4 linked regions of the Stegostoma tigrinum genome follow. The protein of the gene in region 1 interacts with the protein of each later gene in a pairwise test. Links are inferred from orthologs where the notes say so. Each region holds a gene or a part of one and is shown on either strand. Other genes may lie near its edges.

Region 1 (8,233 bases):
ATGTTATACTCAATTTGCAAAATCTTTTCTCATCACTTAATCTATCTGTATTCCTTTATCGCCTCTTTATGTTCACTTCACAATTTACTTTCTACTTGTGTGTCATCAGGAAAGTAGGAAGCATGCTTTGGGCCCTTCATCCGAGTCATTTATTAAACTATAAAAGGTTGAGGCCCCCATATAGAACCCTGTGACACATCACTCATTGCATCTTACCAAATGGAAAATGAATTTTTTATGCCTTTTCTCTGTTTCGTGTTGATTAGTCAATCTGCTGTGCAAGCCAATATGTTACCCTCTGCAGCATTAACTTTTTTTTTGCAATTATTGATGTGCCACCTTATCAATAACCTTCTCGAAATCTATGTTCAATACTGGTACCGCTTTAGTCACAGCTCAAAGAATTCCAATGAACTGGTTAAATATGATTTCCTTTCTCATAATGCAGACTGAGTATAACTAGTTTGCACATATATTAATAGAGAACAATTCTATCATCCTCATTTGAGGCAATTGAGGTTATTTTTTTCATAACATTTTGCAGATACTCTAAAAAATTCTCTCTCTGCATAAGTATATAATTTATATCATAAAGGGTTGAAATTCATGTTTAATTTTATTGTTCACCGTTCAATATGACAGTTAACTATTTGATTTAAGTTTCTACAAGTAACACAGAAAATGGATTTTTGCAACCTTTGAAAACAGTTCCTGATATAAAAAATAAGATTTCAAATCGTCTTATATAGCATTATACTTACTTTGTGTTTTATAATCACTAGGGCTTTATTATGAAAGTGCTATTAGAAAGAAACATCTTTAAAAAGGTTGGTCTGTATTTTTTTAATATGTTTTCTGGTAGAGTGAGGAGAAGATACTTTAGCTGAGAAATTTCTACATAAATCACATATCTGGATTTCTTAAAACGGGACTTGCCTTTTGTACTTTAGTCTATTCCACGGAACATTAATTCACTACTTACAGTTCCCACTTCATAAAGGTTACAATGTTATTTTGTACGGCGAGTTCTGAGCTATCTCCCGAAACCGGTTCACCAGGGCGTGCGCCCTGACTAGAAGCGATCTCTGAGAGTAAAACGTTTTCTGTGTGACTCAGTAAGGACTTGCATCTTTGTTTACACCACGAAATGAACATAAATAATCGAAGGACTGAAATGGTGCTGGCAGCAGGTGTAAAAACAGTAATACGGAGTCTGGTTCTTTGCAGTTTAAACTTTCAGACTTTGTAGTGAAACTGAAAAGGACTTTTCTATTTCCTGCCTATGCTTTATTTTCGTAAGGTTTGGTGATGTATGTGTGAATCAGAGGAAATGCAGCCCATTAACCGACAAAAGATTTATTGTCGCAAAGTATATTTTAGCATAAATCTTCGGGGGAAGACGATGCTTTCGTCAAGTAGAAATGTCATACAGCGTTAGGTTCAATCTCTTTGAATTTAAAACGAAAATAATTTTTAAAAAGGGACTCTCCATTTTAGCTGCAGAATGTTTGAGCTTTCCACTAAACTATCGAAAGGCTTTTTAACATAGATCTTGACGTAAACTATTTATTGGCTTCAAGTCGGATGCAATGTATACAATGCGCTTTTGTCGAGGAATCGAGCCTCTACTGCAATGCAGTTCTGGTTTCTAACTTTTTTTGAATAGCACGAGACATATTCTATTACTTACACTTACCCATTGCTTGAACAATTTATTGTTTTAATTTCTTAGAGCAGCTAACGACAGCAAAGCCTACCAAATACACAATTTAAAGTCTGCGGGATGCAAAATGAGGGCAACGCGAGTCAGTAAACTCGATGTCGAGACACAAGAAGAGAGATGGAAAGGGGAAAATATTCCGAACTATATGGAAACTATAAAAATCAAAGCCGTTTAATCAGTGGAATGTGTTAGGAAAGAATTTCACAGAACTGTTTTGTTTTAGATGGAGACTATTGGAGAGAGATATGAATTTACAGGCGATCACGTATTCGGTGCTTCATTGTAATTGGATTTAAAAGATAAATATGTGAAATATGATTGCGTTCGATGTCGATGTTTTCTTGTCCAGCATTTATTCCATAATTTCAGACAGCGGCATTGCAATGGAACGCTGATGGCAATTCCTTACCATTTAAAGTACCCTTAATGATTTGCCATTCAGTATTGGCCCGTGACTGAATTTTGACGGCTCCCGGTTTCATATGGGATGTGACCAAGAATCGGGTTAAAACTCTGCCTTCTTTTAACAAAAGTGTTTGGAGGTTGCAAAACAAAAAAAAAGCAAGAGCAGCCCAGAACCAATCAGTTAAGGGCTATGGGGAAATATAGATGTCTGTTTTTGAAGGTGAGCGTTAACTGAACGAATGAATCAGACCAACGCCAGGTTTGTTACATCAGTTTACGCCAGTCAATTTGGAGTGATTTTGAACAATTTGAGTACAGCTTGAATCTGCACAAAGTTGATGCGCGAAATAGTTGGTTGCGTCCGCTGCTCAGAAACGACTGAAGCCGGGTCGCTTACCTGAGCCGTCACTTTTCCTTTTGGAATTCCTTTTCTCTGTCTCCACTGGAGTGACCGCCGGCCTCCCGTAATCCCCCGACACACAGGACAGCGGGTTATTGGGGTTCAAGCTGGGACTGCTGTCCGCCAGGCTGGAGCCCAGTTCCGGGCCCCCGGATTCCGACTGGAGACAGAGTGTGTTCCGCGCCAGGGGAGGGGGTGAGGAGATCTGAGGGATGTGCCATGTTGCCTGGCCAGCGCCCGGTGCCTGGGGTTGCTGCTGGGGATGACCTCGGTGGTGATGATGTAGGTGATGATGATGACGCTGAGCTGTAAACATGCTTTCTTCATTAGGAAATCCCGTTATGATACAAGAAGAAGAAGACAGGTCTGGAAAAGCCACATGGTCTGATCTTCCATGGAGAGCTAGTGGAGACTGAGAGAAGTGGTGCAGGCTCTGCGCTGGAGCATGTGAGCCGCGCAGGCAGCTAAATATTGTATGATCCATGGGAGCGGGGTTTCAGATTCCAAGCGGCTGGAATTATATCCAAAGCACCTTCGATTTCAAAGTAAACAGCTTCCAGGAAAGCAGGGTTCTTTAAAAGAGATCTGGATCAATCGCTGTTTAACAGCCGGGAGCCCTTTGAATAAACAGGCACACACACAAACACACACACACACACACACACTGACACACACAAGCAGAGCTAATTTTCGGGTGACAAGTGGAGCCAATCGCACGTTGTCCCAGGGAGCTGCTTTCAGGGGGAAATCGTGGAAGATATATAAATAGTTTGTAATGTGAGAGGGGGGCTGGATCTAAGGCAAGGTCCCAGCCACATGCGAAGCTACCTCCAAAAAAACATCAGCCCTATAAATCATGGCAATTAATGACCGGAAATTCGCAGGCGCAGAGAAAGAGAAACAAGGTTTTGTACCAGTTTAAGGGCAGGCTTTATTCCTTATTGCGTATAGCTGTGACCTGCTATTGTCGATGTGAGAATTGTGTGTTTGCAGATGACGGGTGATGCTGAAGAAATGGAAGTGGGTAGGTGTGTTTGGGGGGGGGGGGGGTGAGGTGGATGTGGGAGCAAACTATTCCTCCCACCCCCCCACAAAAAAAACCTCTAGGAGCTCTGGGGTGTCAGATGTCTCTAACGTGCCGCAACTTAGGGGGTAGTGAACCTGTGTCTGTCAGTCAGTGCCACTAGAGCCGTCTGTACAACTCAGCCCAAAAGCAAGGCGTCCCGCAAAGCAGCGAACAATGAGAGCGAAAGGGAACGATTGATCCTCTCATCAGAGTCCTCAAAGCAAACACAACCGCACATCTTCAGATGACAGAATAAATTCCTAACCGATGAAGTCACGTTTAGGTGTTTGGGTTAGGGTTAAAAAGAAACTTGTGAAACAAAATACGCCGGACACTTCCCTTCCCCAATCGATCTTCCTGTCTATCAGTTACTCCGTCCTCATGATGGACGTTTTGATTTGCAAGTGAATGTTTTCATTTGTTAATAGAAAAAAAATCCTGTTCAATAATCGCATTTAATTCCCGGGATTAGCTGCCCTTTCCCGTGCTCCTTTTCTGTTAAATCTGAAACAGAGTCAAAACGGAGAGAAATCCTTTAAAAAACAGATCATCTAAGAAATAGACAAAATGGATTTAAACAGAGTAAAATTCTTTTGAAACCTAATGTGAAATCTAATTAGTCATGCAAATCCCCACCACCTCCCAACCAGAAAAAAGGTCCCTCAAAATAATTCTTCGAAAATTCGTCGCCAGAATTAATATTAAGGAGTTTGTCAGCGTCCGTAGTCAATTCAAATGTTTAAACCAGAAGGGGAAGGGGGATGGCCGGGAATTATATAACAGAAGGCTCCCAGTGGATGAAAACGCGTGAAAAATCGCTTCTGCCTTGATATTCCCATCGAAGGACAGAATTAAGTTGGAGCTGTGTTTTCCTGGAATCACATCGCTTGTCCGAGTGTTACCAATCCTGTGGTTAAAAGTTGTCGATGTGAAACGATGTTTTCCTTCATTGACAAACCATTGGGCGAAAATAAAGATATTTGTTATTGGTAAAATTGCAAAACAAATCTGAATGCTAGCAACTAATCATTTCTGTAAACAATTTGATTTTCCCGAAACAAAAGCAGAAATTGAAAAGAAACTCGTTTGAGACGAATGTCAGAAAGTTTATTGTTGGCACGAATGTAACGTGATTTGTGCTATCGCTCGTTTCTTAGAAAGGAAGCCCTGTGTTGCTTTTCGCAGACATCGATTTGTACACATTTTCTTAGAGACTCCGAACATCTTCAACGACTGGAGCTGATTAGGTGGTAGTTGAGCTTCCTGCCGGAGCGGTTCAGGTTGTACGGCGAGGCACCAGCGAAGTTTCGGCGGATTTCTGTCTCCGTTCCACAGATGTGACCAGGAATTGTCACCCAGGCATCTCATTGCGCAATGTTTCACGCAAATCAGTCGGGGCTCAATTAATTTCGGAAACTCGGGACAGCAAAATAGTGTATTCCAGAGAAGTGCCTCCCCTCTGAGAGTGTGTCCATCGACAATGAAAACGGCACCTCTATACAATAGTGAAAAAGACTGGGATCAATATCATCTTCAACACAACCAACTTTTAAACAGTCTCCATCTCCTTACAGGTAATTGCGGCACTATTTCAGAACAATCTCACACAGTGGAAGGGCCGAACAGCCTCTTTTCCGCAGTTAGGAATCAATAAGTAACGAGATCGCTGGCAAATTCTAAACTGTTCCTGAACCCCGTTTGGCGCTACTGGTAATTTGAGAATTTTATTGAAAAATAAATGAAATCAAGTTTCTTCAAATCCCTCCAGCTGAAAGGCTCCCTCAGTGTTCGAGAGCTGTTCTTTGTTGAGACAAGTACATGTCATAGTGTTTTGAGTGAAATAACATCAAACGTGCTGAATCAGGGACTCTGTTCCTCACATGTTCCCATCCGGAGCAAGATCCTCACCGCAAGAGCTGAACTCAGCTGAATGTCACTTTGGTGATAGCTTCATAAAAACTTTTATTTTAATAAGGGGGTTACTGATTTCTGCGATAATGTTGATGTGCAGTGGATTTTGGAGTCATTCACTGTCTAGGAGCGAATTTTTCCGTCCTGAATGTTGTGATACTGCGCTTTTCAGGTAAAATCAGAGTTTTTTTAACCTCGGACGAGGGATTGTGGAACGAGTCAAAAGCTGCTGTACAGTGCCAAATTTGCCCTTCAGTATGAGTTTGCTGTGATAGATGTTACCCTGGTCGTATAACACGCTGGAGTGGTTGGCCCGCATTTAACAAAATGTAAAACACGACAACAGAAATGAAAAACCGCCGAAGTTGAAAGTATGAAAGAAAACAAAATAAATGGTGAAAATACTCAGTCTAGAAGCATGGTGAAGAGATTTTTTTTATCAACTGGGCAGAAGTGAGCTGAAACGTGAACTCTACCCGAATAACGTACTCATTGGGTCCTCTCTTAATGACATGCTCACTGTGTATTTTAAAAGGGACCGAAACAGAAATTGCTGGAAAAGCTCAGCAGGTCTGGCAGCATCTGTGAGGAGAAATCAGAGTTAACGTTTCGGGTCCGGTGACCTTTCCTCCCCTAGACCTGTTTCTGATTCACAGCACCTGCGGATCGTTCTGTTTGTTTTTGTTTTGAAAGCGAATCAACTTGTCTAAAATGGACTTTGTCCCTGCCTCTCCATTTGGGAAATAAAGTGATAGCGGCTACATTTTGCAAAACTCGCTTTAATTTCTGGCACAGCGTGCGACCTGCAAACATTTTCCCCCCCGAACTCCAAACATGGAATTCTTTCCCTTCAGTTCATGATCGAGATACTTGGCACCATGCTTTTGAGAATGCAAACAAAAATAAAACTTGAAATAATTCGAGGCAAAATTCTTGACAGCTACTTATTTATCTAAGATATAAAAATGTGGGGTGGGAAGGCGAAAGCCAAATAATTGGTACAGTTACAAAAGCACAGCATTGTTGATGCTGGAGATCCGACATGCAAATAGCAAATGCCAGACAAACTCAGCGGATCTGGCGATACCTGGGCAAAGAGAAACAAATATTAACATCTGGAGTCCAATCTGACTCTTCATCGGAACAAGAGGCTGAAGGGATTTGTATATTCAGTTTGCTGGCACCCGGTTTCAGGATCGGGGATCTGACAGAAAACACTGCGCGTTCAACACAACGATTCAGATTTCAGAAGATGGCACAACTCAAGTAACGGGAACCAGATGCCGCTAGACTGATGTCCTTACAATCTCCTCACCAAGCTTTCAAGAGATTTCACTTAATCTTCATCGGTCTGATACTTAGAAAAATGCCGGGCCCCGGGTGTTCCGAAAGGCCCTTTAACTTAGAACTCCTGACGGGGAAACCGACCGGGCCCCAGTTACTGAGCCTCCAGATCTCCGCATTATTAGAGTTCAGATAGTTTCAGGGGATTCGGCGACAGGAGGTCATTTGGAGGGGTGGATAAAGGATTGAAACTTCTCATTTTCAACAGATCACCGTAAACAGGAGGCGTAAATCTGAACGCGGACATCAGTGTAGACTTGGTTCAGATTAATTGAAGTTGCCTGTTGATTGCAACATTCTGCAGATCTGCAGCATCTGTAACTCCAGGAGTTACACTGCGTTTTGATGAAGGGCGTACACCCGAAACACTAACACATCTGTTTTATTTTTGTTTTATTTTACAATAACAAACATATTCTCTTCAAAATGCCAACCACCTATTCAGTGTGTCCAACATTTTCTCTGTGAAATACGTGTTGTTATGATTGCTAAAACAAAAAGTTGTGACATGTTCCAGGCCTTCCTTTCCTACACAATACTTCAGACTGATTTTATCGCATGCAGCGAGACGCTGAAATAATCTCACCGTTTAGAAATAACTTCTGAAGATTCACTGGACCCGAAACATTAACTCCGATTTCTCTCCACACATGCTGTCAGACCTGCTGAGTTTTTCCAGCAACTTCTGATTCTTTTGTTAAAAATGAGACGACTCCCTTTCAAGAGAGATTTTATTTCTTTCTCTCATTAGTTTGTGGAATTGTTTTATTCAAAAAGCAGTGAAAATGAGTTAAAGGCCCCACTCATCCTGCTTTGGCTTCTTGATGTCCTGCAGGAGGACTGGGCCTCCATGTTTATTCTGGAATGCCATCTGTTGAAGGTTGAGTTTTGATGAACAAGGGGTTCAGAGGTTTTGGGGGTAAAGGGGAAGGTGAATTTGAGACCACAATCAAATGGAACTCCAAAGCGGGATTTGAGGGTGGCTCAACCTTTTAAAATGAACCACTGCACACAATCCTTTCAAAGTCCTCAGGAAAAGGTGCATCTTTGTAACAAATGTGAGATCCACTCTGCCTAAATGCCTCAGAATGACCATTTCTAACAAGTGAGAATCTCGTCTCCACTTGACACTCAGGAGCATCATCATTAACAGTAAGCTGGCTGTTTATGTTTTCCTTTTCACATTTATTATTGGGATTGGGAGGGTTGCTGGTTATAATAATTGCCCTTGAGAAAGTGGTGGCTCGTTGCCTTTTTGACCCATCGCAGTCCAAATGGTATTTGCACAATGCTGATGGGGCTAGATTTTGACTCAGTGACTGTAAAAGAACAGTAACATCATTCCAAGTCAGGACAGTGTGCAACTTGGAGGGTAAGTTGCAGG
Region 2 (7,706 bases), on another chromosome or scaffold:
CAGCACAATGAGAAGCAGTTCTAAATGCTGTTCTATGGTGATTTTCCTTTCTCACTCCCATTAAGAGTTAAATCTTTATTACGGCCTATTTTACCAACTCATCTCAAGTTTTGACCATTCTACTTTGCTCAGCTTTCCCTGGCCCCAGAGACACTTAATGTCATAGAGATGGGAAGAGGAAATTTTGGTGATGGACAAAGTGATAATTGTCAAGATAATTTTAAAGGAAAAACAATGAGCAGGTACAATTCAGCTGCATTTGGCCAGTGAGAGGTTAGAGTTGTTGGCAAAAGCAGAATCTGTTATTGAGCAAGGGAGATGGGTTGTGGTTGTCTTTCCATATTTTCAGAGGGTTGTGTGAAGTGAAAGAATATATGCTGACTCTCAGATTCTATGTGTTCCTTCAGTTATTTTAACTGACACTGGAAACTGTATTGGGCTATCTACAGAGTGTCAACCAGGTCACCTCTGGATACAATCAAAGGAGCTTGGTACATGAGGCTTTAAGTATATCCCCATTACTCAGCTCAGTTTAATACTACAGGGTGGAGGAAGGGGAGCAACGACTCATTGCTAACATTCAAAAGATATCCGACCAACTTTTTAAAAAGGGTACATAAAGTACCTAGATAGGCCCAAGTACAGCCCGTTTTTATGTTTATATTGACAGGGTGGGCATCCACAAATGTTGTGAGAAGCTGTTAGAGCTGCTGGAGAACAGTATGACCTCCTTCCTCTCCCTTTCCATAATATCCCCTCCCTCACACCCTCTCCCCTATTGAAAATACCTTTCATAATGAATGGCGAAGATGAGGTTCGATCTGACCAGAGTAAGTCGAGCCTTAGCCACTCCTTTGGATGCTGGCGATCGTCCAGATGTTGTGAGCAAGGCTACAAAATCTACAGAGGGCAACAAGCTGAATGAATTCTCCAGCACAAGCATCACACTATTACTACACACTTGGGTTATTGTCCAAACAAAGAGTATTTACTATTATCACAAAAACCGAAAGTGCTGGAGAAACTCAGCAGGTCTGGCAGCAGAGGGGAGAAACAGAATGAGTGTTTCCAGTCCGGTATGAACTCTCCATAGGTGCTGCCAGACCTGCTGAGCTTCCCCTACAGTTTATCTTCCAGATCTCCAGCATCTGCAGTTTTCTGCTTTAGTTTGGGTGTTTAGTATTTTACCTGTTCTACTGTCGTCCATTGAAATATCCTCAGAGGTGATGTAGGAACGATCATTGGGGCTTTTTTGCAGATTGTCCTCTTTTTCAAGAGGAACATGTTCAAATCCATCGAATATCTCCTCTGGTTTCTTCCTGAAGCTGCTGGCGTTGTCTGCCGATAGAAAGGGAGGGTTGTTGGCGCTGTCTGGAAACGCTCTGTAAGGTAAGATCTTGTCAACTGATCAGGGTTAAAAAGCTCACCTTTCAGGCAGGTTCTGCAGCAGTGTCCGGGCAATAAAACAGGGGCACGACAGGGCAGCTCGGGACAGTCGTGTTTAATATTTCTGCAGTTTACTTTGCCATTAACTTTGCCTCTTCGATTTATTTGCTTTAAAAGGTAAAGATTTGAAACACAAATCATATTTTTGTTGTTTGAAATAGCCAAAAAATAACCCGATTGCAAACAATGGAATCTAACGCCTCCCAATATTGGATCTACTGACAACACCGAATGGTCTAGGGAGATCTCACATACGAAGTGATGATGCCACTCATATTCAAAAGGAGAAAACCGCCTTATTTACCGAAAGGATATCCTTGCATCGATTTATTTGCTGTCCGGTTCCATAATTCCTGATAACAAGATTTACCCAATAAACAACTCAATCCTGATTAATAGCAATATAGTTAACACGTTTGTTATTCAAATACACACGTATCCGGGAGGAGGGACGGTGGTGGTTGGGGAGGGGGTGTGGCGGGGTGGGGGGGTTGGAATCCAATCAGACTGTACCTACACGATTAAAAATGAGGAGGTGGGCATTTTACTAAAATCTGAAATGTGTACTGGTCTCCTTAGAGCTCCCAATCTCTTGTTAATGCGGAAGTAATACCTCAGATAATTGTAGGTAATTTGCAGACGGTGGTCAGAAAGGTTGCCGAGTAGAATTGGTTTATGTTAAATGTAGTGGAAAATTAGGATTTGTTAATTCGTGGCCTCATGGGGCATGCAGTGTGTGGCTCAGCTCCCTGGTTACTGGAAAAAAAACCCTACAGGGGAACTTGTCGAATAGTTCAGAGCCGCTGCACATTTCCTTCTATTGATTCACAGAAAACGCAAGCCAGGCATTGACTTCTGACTATACCCCATACCACGAATTCTGTGAAGCAGACTCTAGGCCACAACGAATGAATACCGCCAAGGCTATGGGAAAAGAGCTCACATATCATAAAGGAGAAGAAAATCGTATTATATGAAGACCATAACGGAGATTCTAGACTAGGAAACCTGCTATGTTGTAAAGAATATTGTAAGGTGACCCTACAGCAGTAAAGTAGATCTTATTGGTTAAGGGATGTACAGAAGATGCCACAGATTGTGTGCGTTCCAGGGAGATATGATGGTGCGAATATAGCAAAGAATTATTACATTTGATCTACTGACAATACTGAATGGACTAGGGAGATTACATTTGGAGACAGTAAAATAAGTTAACTGAATTCTCGGTTGGCACAATAGAAACCCAGGAAGCAAAGGGATGCATTTGATCCTCCCCCGCCCCCCACAACACACAGGTAAATAATGTATAAAATGAGTGGCATTGAGTTCTTTGTCCCAAATAAAACAAAACCATCCGATGGCCATTAGAAACATACCGGCTCGCAATGGCAAACGACGCAGTGCATGATTCCAAAGGGTTGTCCCAAGTCAGGGTGCCAGGTATCCCGGAGCGCGTACAGCTTGTCACCGAAAGAGCAGCCTACAGAGATATAAGGCGAACATGTGAGGGCTCGGCCTTTCTCTGGCCGACGTGCCCACCCCCAAATCCAATATTATCCTCACTCCTCTTCTCAACAGTTAGGAGTTCGAATTCGATTTGCTAAGGAGAGAAACACTTGAGCATTTTTCGATTAAAAAACTTCCCAGAGTTACATTTCTACAACAAAAGAGCCACTTCTGAAGAGAGAGAGAGAGAGACAGGGTAAATTGGAGAACAAACTGCAATCAGTCTGTTATTGTTGCAGCCCATTCCCGCAGAGTCCTGAAACATGGTAAGATGACAAACCAGTCTTGGCGACCGGAGTTACCTGCAGCTTCTTTCCCAAGGACGGGGTCATCTTCTGCCTGAATGGGTAGAGAAGGCACCTTCAGTCGCAAGCTGGTTGCTTCATCTATCAATTTCAAAATAAAAACAAGGTGCAGCACAGAAACCAGCTCTTCTGTTTTCATTGTGTCAATCGAGTCCAACGATTCACTTTCTCACTGGGCAACGGTTTGCTCCAACTAACCACAGTCAGCCGAGAGGCCTTGAGGAGCTTTTGAAAGCTGTGTCGGTTTGTTGTGGCTACAAGAAATGCAAGCACTCCAATAGTTCCCTGTGCTCGAACTCCTTGTTTTTATATACTTCCAAACAAAGCCCTGAATATGCATCCAAGTCAATAAAGCCTTAATCAGTGGAATATTCAAATCGACTCATAGAAAGATGATTAGCAGGCACAGCGTGGGATCCTCTTCAAACTCAATGGGAAAGTGTTAAAACAATGAAAACCAGACGTGGCTCGACTCGGAGCCGAGAATCTAGTTGTGTATTTTAAAACAGAGAACTGCCACTACGAAATTGAGTTAATTGAACAGTGAAATACACTTTTATAAAGCCCGGGGCGGTATTTGCATTTGTCCAAAGCAGAACAAGACGGGGGGAAATTGTCTGTAAAATCAAGTCCAGAAAGCTGCAAAGTACACTCTGCTTGATTGTGTTACTGTCTAGAGCGCCAACGCCTTTCCTTGTAGCTTTTGCAATGTACCTGTAAACTGTCTAGGTATCGGAGTACCCTGATGGCCTGTCCGTATACATTTCCAATCGAAATGGTCAGCTCCATTTCTGGGACTGGTCCATTGTATTTACAGTTTATCCAACGTGTATTACACATGGATCGGAGTTCAGGATCTCGTTTCCTCGGTCCTCTTTATTTGCCTTGAATTTAAGTGAATCGTGTGATGCCGACGCTGTGGGAGATTTCACTCCCACCAATTTGAGAGAAATCTCAGATTCATGCATTATACAAGCGGCCGCCTTTGTTCGCGAAATTTTAATCAATTTCGTTTCGCCTGCACAATGTGTTGTAAGCATGTAATGCATATAATGTTGTAGCATCATCTAGATTGGGATAAAACAGGAATAAATATTGCCAAGGAGAATATTTCCTGAAGCACAAGTGAATCTGAGACTATCCCAAATAATGATGAGCTCAGATTCTTCCCGAATCCAATATTCCAGACATATCTTACTAAGATTTCTGGCTACAGGAATGGTCCATCATCCGGTCTCAAAGAAACACATCTGTTTGATTTATTTAAACGAGTAGGCAGCCGATGAAGTTGGTTCTAATGCGAAATGTATTGGGTAATATCGCGAAGAAATTCTACGGGCCATTTCGGGGAGATGAGTCCCTCCGCCAATCAAATAACTAACCCAATGATAGACTGCATAATCATTCTAGGACTGCCAACTACTGGGCTATAAGTTTATATTTAATTACTCTTTCCCAACGATTTTTAAAAATATCACTTCCAGAATTCTCATTGCATAAGTGGCCTAAATTTAGTACAATTTATTCACTTCAATACGTCTGCGTGGAATTGTAATATTGTTCACATCTCTCCTCAGCTCACTAATGCTCACACTCTGAAGTAGTGGAATTGGGAGATCTAGAAAGAAAGTTTAGACCAGTCTGACATGCAGCAATCTCAGAGCACTCTCCGAGCTAAATTCTACATCAGAACCCAACAGAAACTCGACTAATTACCTCTCCCCCTCCCCCGTAATCTGTGAGATCCCATGGCATTTTCATGTACAATACTGAAATTGAACGTAAACTCATAAACTGTATTTCGGCAGACAGTTCTTCAATGGAAGATGTTGCGGCCTACACAGATTGGTCTGCCTTGTCTCACATGAACCCTGCACATTCTGGAAAATTTGTGTGCGATCTTTAAATGCTGCGTTGCCTCAACCTATATCACTGTACTTCACCAACGAAAGAAGCACAGTTTGTAAGGGCAGTTTGTGAGTTATCCCATAAGCTTAATTGTAATGTCTTATGGTGGAAAAGGATATAGTTCTCCAGCATTTTCTGTTTGTTTCAAATTTCCGGCATCCTCAGTATCATATTTTGAAATACATGTAATTTGATAGGTGCAGCATTCAGAATAATCTAAAATCAAGTGGGCCGTGTCAAGGGAGTACCACTTCACCCGCCAGGCAGGAAATGGCAACGCTGATCCTCGCTGGTTGCAGTTACGGGCTTTGCTGCCATACCAATGCAGAAATCAGAAAGGGATCCGGGCAGAGGGAACTGAGGACGATCCCAGAGAACGATCACGTCTCCTGCAGAAGAGATAACACAGTGTGGAGCTCGAGGAACACAGCAGGCCAGGTAGCATCAGAGGAGCCGGAAAGTTGATGTTTTGGATCAATTTTTCTATCCTCTGATGCTGCCTGGCCTCTGTGTTCCTCGAGCTCCATACTGTTATTTCTGACTCCAGCATTAGCAGTTCTTACTATATCCTGTAGAACAGCGGGACGGCGGAACCGAGCAGAGACACCGTTTCTCGGGGAGAATTCCGGATACCATTCAGCTTCTGGGATCGAAGAATAGCAAACACCAATCATTTAGTTGGGATGATCCTAAAAGTAGATCTTCCCAATACCAACATATTAAACAGGGAACCCCGTCCGATTCTGCTTTTCTAAAACAGATTTATATTGATTTTAAAAATAATTAAAACTGTTCATGTACATCAGCGAAACTGAAGGTTAAGAAGGACCACAAGACAAACGCACAGTCAGAAATCTAACATTGACCGCGGGCTTGTGAAGCGACCGTGTTGCGCTGAGTAAATTTGCAGGCGCAGTCAGTGGGATTAGGCTCAAAATTGGACGGTTCACTTTAAAGTTTGCACTGATTTTAATTCGGTGTCACTTCTGGCGTTTGGTAGACTTGGTCCCTGTGGAAGTTCTTCTCAAACAGTCTGTTTAGTTACAAAAACAGTATGTGCTGGAGAAACTCAGCAGTTCTAACTGCATCTGTGGAGAGAAAAGCAGAGTAGACCTTTCGAATCCAGTGACTCTCCACCAGTTCTGTTTCTGTAGCAATTTCTGTTTTGTGCCAGACCTCCAGTTCTTTGTTTTATTTTCAGGTTAGTTAGACCGCTCTGCCCGGCTGTTAAATGTAAAAAGGTACGAGCCGAGCTGTGCTGGTGAGAGATGGTTTGAAGAGGTTCAGTGATGTTGGAGACCAGCTGTGAGCCCTAGATGTGGTGAACAGAGCGCCACACAAATACACAGAGCGGAGAAGCAAATATTTGTTCACAGGGCAGTGGCAGGAATTCCTGACAACAACAGAACCTGGCTTGATCTTTTTTTTCTGTTGAATTTGGAAAGAAATGTTTCTTTAGCTCAAGGAACTGCAAACTCAGCCAGCGTTCTTTGAAATGCAGTTCTGAAGCTCCATAGCTGTTTGTAAGGAGCTGATAATAAATAATACCGGCTCACCACTGAGTGCAATTCAACTCGCACACTGCTTTACAAAAAGGCCTCAAACCTCTTCGAATTAGAAGGTCAAGAAAAGACAGCAAATCAGTTAGGCGCTACCACTTCACTGTCAATAAGTTGTTGCCACTTTCAACTTGCAGTTCCTGAAAAAGCTTTCAACTTTTTCAATATTATTGATCAAGTGTGCATCAGAGCGAGTATCTAACTGCATTTCTAAATTGCTCCAGGGCAACACAAGGAGGTGTTTGAAACGAAGAATTAACATTTTTAAAAAATTCAGTAAAGGCTCCTAAGACGGGTGCTGTCCCTGCTCATACAATAAAAGGGCGGTAGCATCTGTATAATGTACAGTGGCATCCTGTCAGACACAAAACATTACACAAAAACTATTAGAAACGATTTCACAATTAAGGTGCTGATATTGTATCATCGCTGATCTGCAAACAGTTACTTTGTTATTTGTTACAAAGATCGAAGACGTAACAGGAATGTTTTTTCGTGGGATTGGTTACCTTTTGAATACCTTTATTTCCATTCCTTAGGGACAACATGTTTAGTTCCGTTTATTTTCTCTCTACATATTTATACATTCAAACATACCTGCATATTATAAAGATCTGCAGGTAAATACATCCTCACAAGCAGTGCTTCGGTGCTTTCTGGAATTAAGACCAATTGGTAAGCATTTCAGTAAGTCGACATGAGATTTGTATTTTCCACTAACTTTTAAAATTTGATGTTTTTAAAAATGAGAGCTCGAAAATTAAACTGGCAGCAATGAGTGATTCGCCGATGAACCACATTCACACTTGAGCTAACCCTGCCTGCGGCTCCGGCTAAGTCAGTACTCACTTCCCAGACCTGCTCCAGGTTATTTTCACAACGATAATCCAACTGCAATAATCAGTACAAACAAAAATGATGAATCTACATCTCAATTGCGAAAAAAATTATTTTGTTTAAGGATCGGAACAGAATATTTGCA
Region 3 (7,408 bases), on another chromosome or scaffold:
TCCACAACACTAAATGCGAGTAAAAACAATATTACATTACTACTGTTCAGATCGTAAGAAGGTCACAGGTGGCACCGCCTACATCAACCATGAACTTCAATCAAGTAAATGACTCACTTTACTGGGAGCATTATCATCACAAATAATGCATGCTGGAAACCAGCAAGTCCATGCCTCTTGATTTTAATATTCAATTGGTTTGCATGTGGCCATTTTATGAATCGGGGAAAATATTCAAAGCAAAGATAAGACTCCTATCACAACTTTTTGTGGCAAGTAAACTTCATATTTTCCTCCACTTACAGAGAGCCATTCAACAGCCTCATCATAAGGCAGGAAGTTGTTGTGATTGGGCCCATTTTTCAGTTACGTTGATATCTTGCATTTTACATATGAGTAATTTGGCTTTGTTGCACAGATGTTGGCAAATTTCACATACAAGAAAAGGAAACCACAAATCGTAATCACTTCAGCATGTCTGTTTGCAAGTTACAAGTTTCTGTTCTTGTCCACAGGATTGAGTATCATTATTTTAACAGAGCCAAATGATGTTCCTTCAAAGAGGTGGAGACCCTAATGACACTATGCCTCAAATGACCATCACATGAAAATTAGCTCTATACATCAGTCTGCAGCAAAATGTTGTTGCTTACTGTTATGACAAATGCCCCAGGAAAACTGATCCAAAAATTTGCTGGCCAACCAATAATGTCTAAATTGCATTAGCATTTATATAACAGCTGAATTGTAAATTAGTTTCTTCAGGGAGAATATTTTCTATCCTTTCAGAAAACTTTGTGGTTCAAAGGTATTGTGTGCCAATGTTCTACAAAAGTTATTCAGAGTGGGGGTCATTTGAGGTATTTCAATGACATGGAAAATTCAACTTTTAAAAAAAATTTGTAATTTTACCCAACATTCTAACATGGAAAGGTCTTATGCCATACAGGCCAAAAAATCTGAGTTTAAGTTAGTATATGCCTAGTAATTCATTTCTATTCCAGTGCTCCGACAGAATCTCTGTTACATTAGTAAATAGTGAGGCCAAGAGTATGTTTGGTTGGGCTTCTTGCAAGCCTGGGAACAATGACATCCGAGCAAGAAATGGGAGTTGCCAGTTCCATGATATTGTATCCAGCAAAATCTAGCACCTTCTTTTTTTAACACCATAAGGTTTCAATGTTCAGGGACACAAAAAAGAAACAGGAGGCCTCAGTCAAACATACTTTAGCATGGATCGATGCTGGGTCCACTGCTCTTTATATCTTTTATGTAAGTTAATTAGATGCAAATAGGGAGATCTGGTCAGGACATGTGCAGATGACACAAAAATCTGAGCAATCTAAACATCCAAGATGGCAGCGGAACTTGTCCACTCCAAACGTTTCCCTTTTTCTTTCCCCCTCTCATATTGCCCCCCACTTCCCTCTTCTTTCTTTGCCTGGCCACAGCTTTCTAGCCTCTGACTCAGTGCAGACTTGACGTAGCGGGGCAGTCTCACAGCCTGGAGGAGCGATTTCTCAGCACGCTGGTCTTTCGGCAGTAAGTGGCAGCCTCTTGGTCCAGCATGGCCTCAGTGTGGACTTCCGGTCAAGGTGACTCCTTAAAGTGCAGACTCACCATAGCTAAGCAGTCAAAGACTATAATGCTTGAATTTTCAGCTTTATTTCTTTATTTTCTACTTAAAACTAAGCAGGTGTCACTGTGCTATAATTACTCCAATGTTTAACTCTAAACTTGGTTCTTTCTTTCTATCTACCATGTTCTTAAGATTCTGTACCTAGGTACTTGTACCCAAGATGGCACCTTGTGAGGCAACATTATACACTTTTCACCATTAAAATTGGCGGTGTCGTGGACAACGAAGAAGGCTGCTTCAAAAGTACAACAGGACGTGGTAAATGGAGTTTAATTTAGATAAATGCGAAATGCATTTACCTGCAACAGATCCAAAGTCATGGGAATGCTTTTAAGTTCTTTCAATAAATCGATAGCACCACTCTGCAGAATTAACAGAAAAAGCACAACAATAAGTTATTGCAGTGTAAGCTGAATAACTGAGGACCAAGACATGTGCATGTAAATTTACAATACTATAACCAATATGTTGGTCAACACAGAAGAATTTTAGAAACAAATGATGTTCAGTCTGCACTAGTAGAGAGAATACCTAAAGGTTGTCCCACGTTTGGAGCAGACTAAACTTTCTCTGCATTTAGATGTCTGCACCCTAGTGACTCCCGAATCAAAGCCTAATTAATCCTAAGGATTAAAAATCATGACACCGCTTCAGCTAACAGAGGATATATAAAATATACATATGCCAAATGTAATTACCAAAGTTGCAATTCAAACAATATTGACTGCACTCATATCCCTCCCCTCCACACCTTCAAACCTCTATTATCAACTCAAGAAAAAGTTAACTTCAGCCAAGGATATAGGGTAAATGCATCAAGTGCAAGGCCAGAGATCCTCATCGCTTGTGAGCATTACTGAAATATTTAACTTCACACCTTTTATTTCAGAATACACCAGTTAAAAATAAAAATTGAATCAACGTTCTCTGAAAAATACCCATCACCATATCAGCACCTACAAAGGAAAACAATAACTTCCAATCAAATATCCACTACTGGAAAAAATTATTTCTAAAAAAAGGAACTCCTTCAAATAACCTTGTGTACTACACTCCACCTCCCCCAAACAAAACTACAAGCAATATGAATTTAAAAGCAGATGAGCACAAGGGATCAGAGGACGCGCTCCGATCCAACATTTATTTACATTATAAACACCAGGCAGGAGTGTGGCACCAGAAGCCTCAGCATTTCCCCATAAAAGTTAACGTTTACTGCCCGAGGATGCCCTTCACGCTTGTGAGCAGCTTAACCATTCACTGCACTTGGCTTGTCCGCATCCTGACGGTTCCGGAGGCAGGGAACCCACAGCCAAGCAGCCGGGCTGGGCACTGCGCCGCATCACCAACCCCAGCCGGCCGGGCGGACGGCCAGCATCGACACCCACCGTGTTCTTCTTAGACACCATCTTATCCATCTTCTTCGCGATGCGTACGATTTCCTCCAACTTGCCCATTCTTTTCCTGCGATTCTTTTTTCTTCCTCTGTCTCTGATTTCGCAAAGCTAAGGTGAAAGAGAGACAATGGCCGCAATCATCAGTACCAAAAAACGCCAAGCTCCCTTCCGCCGCTCAGCTTCTCCTCTTGTATATGGCGCTTACCTCAGCCATTCACAGTCCGGGGCACCGCGGACGCAAGTGTCCCTGGGCTTTGTAGTTCCGCCTCTGCCACCAAAGGCTAGTTCCCAACTATCACCGCTGGGCTAGAGGACTACAATTCCCAATATGCATCGCGTTGCCCGGGGAATGTTCTGGGCGACCTCGGTGGCGTGCGTTTCTAGGTAAATCATCTTCGTGGCGCCCTCTCTTGAAGTTGCAATCTGTTCGTTGGGTTTGGGTTCCTTTTCGAGAAACTTCTTCGCGCCTCCCCTGTTGTGGAAAAAGGGAATTTAGGTTACATCTACCGCTACCGTGAATCGTCGTCCAAGCAAGACCTGGCATCTTTAAAGCTTTCATTCCTTTTTGAGTAGAGTGGGTGGAGAAGATTCGAAACGTAACTTTTAACGAAGAAAGTCTCATGTCAGCATTGAAGTAAATCAGTCATAAACCTTAGAAATTGATTCATTAAATTCTGTCAAGGGAGAAAACAGAGCTAACTAACGCTTTTTTTCCATCACAGATGCTGCCAGACCTGAGCTTCTCCAGCAACTTTGCTTTTGTTCCTGATTTTCCAGTATCCGCAGTTCTTTCCGTTTTTATTGATTAAATTCTGTTCTGTACGGGTTTGCTTCCTTTTAAAAAATGGCCTGAAACAGTCCATTCAAAAGACATACTGAAAAAAAATCCAGTGACATTGTTTTAGCGGCGGATTGATTGGGATGTAATATCTTCACTGCAACTCCTGTCTAACTTCTTAATTTAGATAGAAAGAAATTAATGCATATCTGAACTGGGTTTACAGTAAAGCTGAATCTGATATGGAAATAAAGGAAGTCACAATGGTTACAGTGAAAGACGATTCAGCTCATATTATCTGGTGCTAATCTGTTCCTTTTTACCGTATATACTTAGAGCATTTCTGTCCAAACAATTATCTAATGCCCTCTAGAAGTCTCAGTTAATCCTGTTTCCACCACATGCCCAGGCACTGCGTTCTGGACCCTTTCTCACGTTGTCCTTACGGGCTAAAAGATTTTTATTGTTATCATAAATTTTTAAAACTTGAAATCAAAAGGAATGAGAACAACTTATGTGGTAGTGAAACATTTAGCTTCCATTCACAAATTAAATTCATACGTGAAAGTTTTGACCAAGTAACTTCTAATTATGTGATTGATAATGACCAATTAACTACTTTGCTATTAGTTAATTTTAATTGTCTCACTGGAGTTTCATTTCTTCAGGTTTTATAAAATGTACCATTTACATTGGTTTACTCTTTCTTTCAACACCTAGCATGCTTGCTAAAAGTATCAATGAAATTTGCACTATGAATTTCTGTTTTTAAATTTATTTTCCACTATATGGTGAAATTAGCACATACCAAAGTTTAATGACAAACTTCTTTCTTGGACCACAGCTACCTCCACCCCAGTTTTTGGAATGGTACAGCTCAGTACTTCTGTTTACTCTGGGTTTAATTCAATAGCCATACCATTGTCCTGATCTTTCCCCATTTGCCTATTTCCCCTTTTAAAGTACTTATTCAATTCTCTTTTGACAGTCACTCTTTAATCTGCTGCCTCTACTCCTTCATCCAATGTATCCAAATCACGACAACTTCCTGCATGTTGGAATGTTTCCTCATTATCTCTGGTTGTTTTGCCATTCGTTAAGTTTGTCTCCCCTGATTACCAACTGGAAACTATTTCTCCTTCACTTTACCAAAAATGCTCATGATTTTAAATCAAATTAGATCCTTCTCAGTTCTACGAAAAAATATTAGCTTCTCCAGCTCTCCACATAGTGAAAATCCTTCATCTGTAGTATCACTCTAATGAATCTCTTTCACTATTTCCAAGAGCTTGACAAGCTTTCTAAGTATGGTGCCTAGCTGAGTTCTGTGAATAATTTGAGAAGGCCAAAAGAAGACCATATTCTAAGCAAGATTGAACTAAGATTCTTTTAAAATGCCTCATCTCCTTTTGAAGGATAATGGTGAGGTATCCCAAAAGATGGAAAAAAATACCTTCTTGAGCTTTTCCCTCACTAATCTACATATTGCAGATGCATCTGACCATTACAGTATTGTAGGAATGATCATGTAGTCCTTGTGAAGTCAAAGATCTATCTTGTCACTGTGATATCGGGAACTGCAGATGCTGGAGAATCCAAGATAACAAAAGTGTGGAGCTGGATGAACACAGCAGGCCAAGCAGCATCTCAGGAGCACAAAAGCTGACATTTCAGGCCTAGACCCTTCATCAGACAGGGGGATGGGGAGACGGAACTGGAATAAATAGGGAGAGAGGGAGAGGCGGACCGAAGATGGAGAGAAAACAAGATAGGTAGAGAGGAGAGTATAGGTGAGGAGGTAGGGAGGGGATAGGTCAGTCCAGGGAAGATGGACAGGTCAAGGAGGCGGGATAAGGTGGTGGGTAGGAAATGGAGGTGCGGCTGAGGTGGGAGGAAGGGATGGGTGAGAGGAAGAACAGGTTAGGGAAGCAGAGACAGGCTGGGCTGATTTTGGGATGCAGTGGCATTGTGGCACTGCAGGAGGCCCATGATGGACATGTCATCTGAGGAATGGGAGGTGCAGTTGTTTGTTGCTTCCCTAACCTGTTCTTCCTCTCACCCATCCCTTCCTCCCACCTCAGCCGCACCTCCATTTCCTACCCACCACCTCATCCCACCTCCTTGACCTGTCCATCTTCCCTGGACTGACCTATCCCCTTCCTACCTCCTCACCTGTACTCTCCTCTCTACCTATCTTGTTTTCTCTCCATCTTCGGTCCGCCTCCCCCTCTCTCCCTATTTATTCCAGTTCCCTCTACCCATCCCCCTCTCTGATGAAGGGTCTAGGCCCGAAACGTCAGCTTTTATGCTCCTGAGATGCTGCTTGGCCTGCTGTGTTCATCCAGCTCCACACTTTTGTTATCTTGTCACTGATTATTTTTGCAGTGCTGCTGTGCTGCTTAATGAGATGGATTCAAAACAGATCTAGCAGCCAAAATGGAACATCTTTGAGACAGCAGCAGAGTTATATTTAATCACAATCTGAAACCTCATAACTCAGCATTTCCTCTACCGTTAACATCAAACCAGAGGGTCGACTCTCGTTCATTCAATGAGGGGTGCAGAACAGCATACCAGGTGCAACAGCAGGCAAAATAAGATAATGGTACCAACCTGGTGAAGCTAAAACATAGGACCACATGTGTTCCAAACATTGTAGCACAATGCAATAGACAGTGCTAAGTGATCCTGCAACCAATGAATCAGGTCAAGTCTTTGCTATCCTGCTACACTCAGACATGAATGGAAACAAATAATTAAGTAACTTACTGCAGGAAGAGGCTTCAAAAAAATTCCCCATTGTTAATGATGGGGAACCTCAACACGTCAGTAAAAATAGTATATGCGATAGTTCTCAGCTGATATGTTGATCAGGTAATCCAACGTGATCTTCTGAGGTCACCGCATCATGGATGCTAGTCTACAGACAGCGGATTTGGTCCACATAATGTCAAGAAGTAGCTTAAAATACTAGATACTCAGAAGTTATGGGTCCTGACAACATTTTGGCAGACATTGTAAAGACGAGTACTAGCCAAGTTGTTCTAGTACATCTCCAACACTGACATCTGCTTGGTAATGTTGAAAATTACCCCAGTTGTGTCTTCTCCACAAAAAATGGAACTACATCTAGTCTGGTAATTTATCAATAATAGTCCCAGCAGTGCTTGTGGAGCGGTAACTTTCTCACATGTTCAGTTTTGGTTCAGCAAAGGCCGCTTGTTTCTGGACCTCATTGCAGCCTTTGTCTAAACAAAACATGGAAGCAGGAGTGGACCATTCAGCCTGTAAAATTGGCTCCATCATTCTAGTTGGTGGCTGATCATCTACATTTTCCTGGACTATCCCATGTCCCTGGATACCAATTGTATCTAGAAATCTACCAGTCTCTAGATTGAATATATTGATTACCTGAGCTTCGAAAACCCTCTGGGTAAAGAAATCCAAAGAATCACCATCTTCTGAGTGAATAATGTTTTCCTCATCTTTGTCCTAAATAGTTTCCAGAGCATTCTGAAAACAGTGCAGTGGAGGCCGGGACGTTGGATGCCTTCAAGGCAGAGATTGACAAATTCTTGATCTCAAAAGGAATCA
Region 4 (7,694 bases), on another chromosome or scaffold:
AAGACTGTGCACAAGGAACAGGAAATTTCTGCAGCAAAAGGTAAAGTTCAACCATTCCGTTTCTGCTTAAAATGATCAAGAGCCCTCCTGTGAATCTCTGCCGCTATTTGGGGCTCCCTATGCCTTTCCTCACCAATGAAACCAGCTTTTTCGGTGCGAGTACCCCTCTATCTCCAACTCCATCAATATCACCGAGCTCAGCTCTCCCCCTCGGAACTGAAAACTGAAACAGGAATTTGTGGATTAAAAAAAAATTGCTTCATAAAAATAAAAGTGGGGACTGTGGGTCTTTCAGATTTTTCCCTCGTTTCCATGAGAGAAACTCCTCACCACTGGAGGTCCATCAGTGTGGGGAGGGGTTACCATGTTGCTACACGAAAGGCGCAGGGTAGCTCCGTGACCAGCCCTACCAGACACGGAGGCAGTCGATGGGATAACACTGCCCGAGCCAGGTCGGAGAATCTCCTTCAGAACACCACCATCACCGGTCACATCCTGCATTCTCTGAGACATGTAGTAGAAGGGGCTCTGAAATCAAAAGACATTAAATATCGTTGAAAGAAGTGTTGCACACCTGCAATATTCACATTGAGCCTTACATTTGACATTAGTCATAGAATCACAGAATTTTTACAGAATGGAGAACAGTCCTGCAGGCCATCACACCCATGTTGGTCCAATCGACTTTACCAGCACTTGCTCTGTAGCCTTGCATACTGAGTCATTTCAAGAGCTTAAAATGTCTTGAGGGTTCCTGCCTCCAACACCGTTTCAGACCGAGGTCCGAATACCTACCATTGTCTGGGTATAAACTCTGCCTCCGATCCCCTCAAAACCTCTTGCTCCTTGCATTTAAAAGTGCACCCTCTGGTTACTGACCCCTCTATCATATGCTCCCACTCAGCCTTTGCTGCTTTAAGGAAAACAACCGCAGTCTCGTTGGGCAACAACACCACCTACATCAGACTCCTGCTCATTGACTACAGCTCGGTCTCCAACACCTTTATCCCATCCAGACTGATCCCAAAACTCCGTGACCTTGGCCTCAGCTCTGCCCTCTGCAACTGGATCTCCAGCTTCCTGACCCACAGACCCCAGTGAGGATAGGTACCTGCACCCCCTCCACAATGACACTCAACACTGGAGCCCCCCAGGATATGTCCACAGCCCCCTACTGTACTCCCTGTACACCTACGACTGTGTTGCTAAATTCCAAACAAATGCTATCTACAGGTTCGTTGATGATATCACCGTAGTGGGACAGATATCTAACAACGATGAGTCAAAATACAGAAGGGAGATAGAGGGCTTGGTGATGTGGTGCAAAGAGAACAATCTCTGTCTCAACATTGGCTAAAACTAAAGAGCTGATCATTGACTTCAGAAAGTCAGGAGGAGAACACGTCCCCATGTGCAGTGCTGAGGTTGAGCGGGTGGTGAGCGTCAAGTTCCTCAGAGTGACGATGACCGACAACCTGTCCTGGGCTTCATATGTAGATGCGACAGCCAAGGCGGCACAATAAAGCCTCTTCTTCCTCAGGAAATTTGGAATGCCCTTAAGGTACCTCACCAACTTCAACGGATGCACCACTGAAAGTGTACAGTCTGGGTGCATCACAGCCTGGTACAGCAACAGCTGTACCCAGGCCCTGTAAGAAACTACAGGAGGTGTGCGCACAGCCTAGTCCATCATGGAAACCAACCCTCCATCCATGGACTCTATTTACACGGCTCACTGCCACAGAAAGGGGGTTATCAAAGACCCAACACACCCTGGTAATGACCTCCTACAACCTGTTCCATCAGGAAGATACAGAAGCTGGTACACACGCACCAGCAGGTTTAGGAACAGCTTCCTCCTGACCATTATCACACTGTTGAATGGGCTCCAGCCTCAAATAATGTTGATCTTGCCTGACGTACAGCGCTGTTACCTGTATGCCTCTTAGATTTTTTTTTTAAAACTTTGATCTGCACATCCTTGCTTACTATGATCTGCCTGTACTGCTTGCAAACAAAACTTTTCACTGTACTCCGGTACACGTCAAGAAATCAATCCATCTCTCTTCACAGCTGAAATACTCCATGCCACGCACATTCTGAGGAATCATCTGTACACTCTCTCTGGTGTAATTTTCTGCTCCCAAGTTAAATGGAAAATACAACTTGCATAATAAAGTTATTCCCTTACCTCCCAATTATTTTCCAGGTGTTGAATCACTCTGGCGACTCTATGCATGTTACCGCAGCAACCATGCTTCATATACAAGTGTGGGCTTGCTGTTCAACAACGGAGGTATCACAGCCCAGTTCAGTCCAAGCAGTACTCTCTCAAAATCCCTACCCCTGTTTAATAGGGGTCCAACTGAAAATCGAGGATCAGAAGCCTATAGCAATTCTATCTTTCTTTAGCCCCGAGGTATTGAAGCCAATAATGGTGCTGTAGAGGGACTGGGCTGGCTGAGCAGATGCTGGCAATGGCTAGCCATCATGTTACATGGTACAATACCCTATTCAAAACCCTCAAGTGCTAGACAAAGAACAGAATGATTACATAGTGCCAAGCTCCACTCAAAAAGGGGCATGCCATCATTTCACAAACACTGGCAGGACATGGTCCCTGCTTACAGCAGCACAATACCAGCAGATCCAAGTTATGCTGTGACTGCATTGCACTCTGGCCAGAGACCAGAAGCCAGATAGGTTTAGAAGGTATCAGTGATAATGGGAACTGCAGATGCTGGAGAATCCAAGATAACAAAGTGTGGAGCTGGATGAACACAGCAGGCCTAGACCCTTCATCAGAGCTCTGATGAAGGGTCTAGGCCCAAAACGTCAGCTTTTGTGCTCCTGAGATGCTGCTTGACCTGCTGTGTTCATCCAGCTCCACACTTTGTTATCTAGGTTTAGAAGGTAAGTAGCTGCGTGCCTAACAATGAAAAAAATCAAAATGACAATGTTAATAATTACCAGATGGCCATGAGGGCTCGGAGGAGGTCCATTCATTCTGTTAATACAGACACAACAACGAAGATGAATCTCTGGTTGCTGTCAAACTCCTAAATGGAGAGCACTTGGTATGAAGTTTCCAGGGAGATCAAAGTCTAGAGAGAAAATGAACATTAGTCACCACTGACCTTGTATTTGGGTGAACTTTTATGAAACTAGTTTCACTTTTGCTTAATCTCTAGGAACAATAGCAATAACATGCCTGAAGTATGTCATGGCAGTATGATGAGAACTACAAGGGATTAAATGGAGATGGTACAAGTTTTACAAATGGAGAACAAAGCCTTCAAATTCAACAAGCATGTCACACTTACAGAGATAACACAGTGTGGAGCTGCAGGAACACAGCAGACCAGGCGGCATCAGAGGAGCAGGAAAGCTGACGTTTCGTGTCAGGACCTTTCTTCAGAAATGGGGGAGGGGGAAGGGGATTCTGAAATAAATAGAGAGGAGGGGTGGGGCTGGGGAAGGTAGGTGGGATGGTGACAGGCGAGTGCAGGGAGTGGTGGGGATTGGTCAGTGAGTTGCCATTGTCCTCAAATCGCTCACTCTCCTGAAAAATAGCCAGCTACTTCAAAGCCCTGTACCCGTCACAGTCCTCCTGGTAATCTGCTTCACAACCCAACTGCCATTGGAGTTTCTCCTGATTCTGTTCTATTTCTAACACTAATCAATGTACAGAATCAGCTGTGACAATTCCTTTCTTCAACCAGAAGACCTCCGTGTTTAATCTGTCACTTAGCACGCTGTAATTTACATGTGGTCCCACCAGCAGGAATAAACTGCCCTTTTATGACCCAAACAACCTTGGATCTCCTTGTTTGGGAAATCTTGACAATAAGCCATTGGTATTTCACAATTACTCTTTTTCTTATCAAGATTTGCATCTGTATAGCACCTGACAGAATCACATGGCTGTATCAAAAGTACTCTGGCAATGAAGTGCTTTAAGTCAGTGCTGTAAAGTGGGAATTTAATTAATACATGGCACCTAAACTAAATCAAAAATGACAATGCAGCACATTACCACCCTTGCTGCAGTCTGGCTCCCAGGTACACGGTGTCATGAAGCAGGACTCACCAGCCTGTGAAATGTTTTATTAAAAGGGAAATTTACAAAATTCAATGTAGAAAATTCTCAGGGTATGGGTAACTGCTGTGTATAACACAATAAAACCAAACTACATGTTTTTCAAATCAAACTGGTGTCTCAAAAAGCAAAACCTCAGTTCAACAAAACCTGCCATTTTGGTAGTGTTACTTTGATTCTTAATCTCCGATGTAATTTCTGCTGGCAATAGCTTTCCATTTATCGACCTGATCTCAGTCTCGCTCCAAGATATCCTTGTGTAAAACAGTGCAGATGCTAATACACTGCACGTAAACGCATTTTAATATCAAAATCTAATCTGGCCCAAGGTCTGTTGATGTAGATTCTTACATTACTGTTGCTTGGCGTTTCATTTCTTACTGAAGGCAACCTTTTAATGTTTTACTTTAGGGCATTTTTGTAGCGGTAATCTTCATCTAAAAGCTAAATTACAAAAGCACTTCCTGACCTGCCAGGTAATGACACTGGATGTGTTCTTCATCTTATAGCTCTTTGTACATTAAACTTTCATTGGAAAGTAAATGAATATGAGGGGTTATTGGCCAAAATTCTTCCCAAGGGGATACAGTGAGCTTTTAAGAGATGACTCGAGTTTGTCCCAAAGGTAACACATTTATGGCTTTCTGGACACAATCTATTTCTACCAGGCAATATTATAATTGTTACATTGAAGTCTCCATCTTAAAGCACAGCACTCCTCATAATACAGCCCCAAAGCTGTATTGGAGCCCTCTGCCTATTCATCGGATGCTCTTTCAATTGTGTTTCTGTGCCTCCCCTGGGACACTGGCTAGTCATAATGCAGCACTGTCTCCTCTCCTGTGAGGAGATTGAATATCGCAGCAGATGTAAAAGGTCTCCAACACAGATGTGTACTGCAACAGCCTTCGGCTAGCAACTAGCGAGCCCACCATTTAAAGAATCCCAAGCCCAAACCCACTTCCCTTCTGTATTCACCGCAATATTCTTCTGAGCAAGGTGGGGAGAGGAATTCTGACCAAAACTGTACTGGGGGTACAGCACTAAGTCAGTTTTAAGAGCACAGCAGTGAAAAAGGACAACAGGAAGTTCTGAAGGAGGGACACTGTACTCAAAACATTGAATCTATTTTCACTCCACAGATGCTGCCAGACTGGCTGCGTTTCTCTGGTAATTTCGGTTTTTGTTTGGGCAAGGAATGTGGTTATTTAATCAGCATCACTACTGCGGCAGCACTTCCCACCATCTGCACTTAAAATACGTCGAGTGGGATGGAGTGTTTTATCTCAACCCAGAGAACGAGCGGGTATTGGGGCAGGATTCCCACGTGCTTCACACCTGAAGCAGCAAAAGTCCTACAAAAATATAGATAACTCCACAAATTCCACTTTGGGAATACTGCATTCAATTCTGGTCTCCAAGCTATAGGAAGGATGTTGTGAAGCTTAAAAGGGTTCTGAAAAGATTTACGAGGACGTTGCCAGGGTTGGAGGGTTTGAGCTACAGGGAGAGGCTGGATAGGCTGGGGCTATTTTCATTGGAGCGTTGGACACTGAGGGGTGACCTTATAGAAGTTTATAAAATCATGAGGGGTATGGTTAGGCTAAATAGACAAGGCCTTTTCCCTGGGGTTGGGGGTGGTGTGTCCAAAACTACAGGGCATCGGTTTTAGGCGAGAGAGGAAATATTTAAAAAGGACTTGAGGGGCCAACATTTTAATGCAGAGGGCAGTGCACATATGGAATGAGCTGCCAGAAGAGGTGGTGGAGGTTGGTGCAGTTACAGCATTTGAAAAGCATCTGGATGGGTACATGAATAGAAGGATTCAGAGGGATACGGGCCAAATACTGGCAAATGGAACGAGGTCAGATTGGGACATCTGGCCAGCATGGACGAGTTGGACCGAAGAGTCTATTTCCATGCTGTATACCTCTAGGACTTGTAATGACCATATTAGAAATGTCTCAGTACCTGACAGAAGAGGTCTACAGGTCAATGAATACTGACAGGCATTTCTGTCCAATTCTGAACTTAAGGACCTCTGAGGGTGTTTCCATACCATGCAGTATCGCTGCACAGCACACCACCAACATAACGGACTGGTCTTTACTTCTAAACATTTCCTGAGGTGGTCTAATCATGAAAGCGGATCTCTGTCCTGATCGTTCACGGGGAAAACTGCTGAGCAAAGTCAAATGTAGATGTAAATAGGGAGTCAGATGAATACTTGGAGGCACATAAAGGAAACAGGAGATGGGGCCTGAGTCAGACAGTGGGACTATGTAAAGAGCCAGTGCACAGGTTTTTCCTGTCTTGTCATATTCAGTGTTTCCGTAATGTCTACAAAGAGAATGACCCTAGGTTTGTGTCAACCACAGTGCCTGTCTTTTACCACCCTACCCACAAGCAAACAACTTACAAACTAACTAGTGTTACATGACTCTTAGCACATAGTGTCAGCGTGACATTGCAGATATCAGGGGGCTGGTGGCAACACTCGATAATACCAACAACCAAACTATAAATAGATCAACGTTATAGCGATGATTTTGTTTTTGTTCCATTTATATGCAATGCAATCAATTTCCACTCAAACACATTTTCACTTCAGAACAGCTTAGTTATTCAGTGCCATTTGTTGCTAGCAATCCTGGGAGACCTTGTGGCCCAGAGGCCTGTCTCATTGATCACCCATTAATGACTCCAAGTCACCGAACCAAAGTTTCTGCATGCATTAATACCCTGTCTCCAAAAGGTGAGACAGAGGAGATATATCAGGTCAAGGAGGTTGCAGTGTAATCAATTCTCATCCAGACATTTGATCAATACATACACATGCAGATACAGTACCATGTAAATGCATTTAATATCTTCTTCTACTGTAACTGTCACCGTTCTCCCAATGCATGCAGCTGTCTCTCCCTAGTCTCCCAGTTAAACATCCATTCTCTGTGAGCCACACCAAACAATGGGTATTGGAACAGGTGACAGCTGGGGAAAACATGTTAGAAAGAGCGCAGAGAAAGGATTTTCACAACTGGGTTTGATGGTGGCCTCAAAAGTCCACATCTAACTTTCTGTGGCAGTTGATGAAATATCAGCAGGAGCAATTTGCCTTTCTGAATCGAGAGCCCAGAGTTCAGTTCCAGTGCTGATGCAGCACAAGCGAGGGATCAAACTACAGTCAGTGTGGTTCAGTACCACAGTTGCGCGTAACTATTTAGCAAAGCAACACAGGCTCAGTCACTAAACTTTGACTGAGCATTCTCAAAGCCAAGATATATAGATTTGTGTTAAAGGTATCAAAGGATGAGTGGGTCAAAGATGGGAAAATGGAGCCAAGGGGCAGATCTGAGACAGTCCAATTGAATCAGGGCAACCCCAAGGGATTGTATAAACTACTCTTATTCTTTTGGTTCTCAACTCCAGAGGAAAGAAAAGAGTAGGACATTACGGGGTTAGACAGTGTGCTCAGAAATGATAACAGTAGATTTAAAAACTAAAAAGGGGGGGGAAGATAACGCAGCCAAATATGTCAGTAAGGTAGATACATTCTTTTTCTCCAAGGAAGATAAAAAGAAAACACTTAACGACT

Evidence for each region.
Region 2: the proteins of meox2a (region 1) and chrd interact in binary tests that used the Homo sapiens proteins (3 or more experiments, as listed by UniProt). The two-hybrid records come from large-scale screens. The link is inferred for Stegostoma tigrinum from reciprocal best matches to the Homo sapiens genes MEOX2 and CHRD.
Region 3: the proteins of meox2a (region 1) and transcription elongation factor A protein 1-like interact in binary tests that used the Homo sapiens proteins (3 or more experiments, as listed by UniProt). The two-hybrid records come from large-scale screens. The link is inferred for Stegostoma tigrinum from reciprocal best matches to the Homo sapiens genes MEOX2 and TCEA2.
Region 4: the proteins of meox2a (region 1) and fkbp6 interact in binary tests that used the Homo sapiens proteins (3 or more experiments, as listed by UniProt). The two-hybrid records come from large-scale screens. The link is inferred for Stegostoma tigrinum from reciprocal best matches to the Homo sapiens genes MEOX2 and FKBP6.

What each region holds. Positions count from the first base shown.
Region 1 is NC_081355.1:69,823,336-69,831,568, forward strand, and holds the start of meox2a (homeobox protein MOX-2), read right to left. Parts: upstream 3,240-8,233; 5' UTR 3,013-3,239; coding exon 2,526-3,012; intron 1-2,525. UniProt on the Homo sapiens protein: Mesodermal transcription factor that plays a key role in somitogenesis and somitogenesis and limb muscle differentiation. Required during limb development for normal appendicular muscle formation and for the normal regulation of myogenic genes.
Region 2 is NC_081367.1:43,961,799-43,969,504, reverse strand, and holds the start of chrd (chordin), read right to left. Parts: upstream 3,397-7,706; coding exon 3,255-3,396; intron 2,927-3,254; coding exon 2,823-2,926; intron 1,555-2,822; coding exon 1,406-1,554; intron 1,320-1,405; coding exon 1,189-1,319; intron 901-1,188; coding exon 789-900; intron 1-788. UniProt on the Homo sapiens protein: Dorsalizing factor. Key developmental protein that dorsalizes early vertebrate embryonic tissues by binding to ventralizing TGF-beta family bone morphogenetic proteins (BMPs) and sequestering them in latent complexes.
Region 3 is NC_081372.1:27,433,981-27,441,388, reverse strand, and holds the start of transcription elongation factor A protein 1-like, read right to left. Parts: upstream 3,335-7,408; 5' UTR 3,251-3,334; coding exon 3,242-3,250; intron 3,145-3,241; coding exon 3,028-3,144; intron 2,002-3,027; coding exon 1,939-2,001; intron 1-1,938. UniProt on the Homo sapiens protein: Necessary for efficient RNA polymerase II transcription elongation past template-encoded arresting sites.
Region 4 is NC_081380.1:13,248,571-13,256,264, reverse strand, and holds the start of fkbp6 (inactive peptidyl-prolyl cis-trans isomerase FKBP6), read right to left. Parts: upstream 3,366-7,694; 5' UTR 3,324-3,365; intron 3,105-3,323; 5' UTR 3,007-3,104; coding exon 2,971-3,006; intron 529-2,970; coding exon 411-528; intron 1-410. UniProt on the Homo sapiens protein: Has an essential role in spermatogenesis. It is required to repress transposable elements and prevent their mobilization, which is essential for the germline integrity.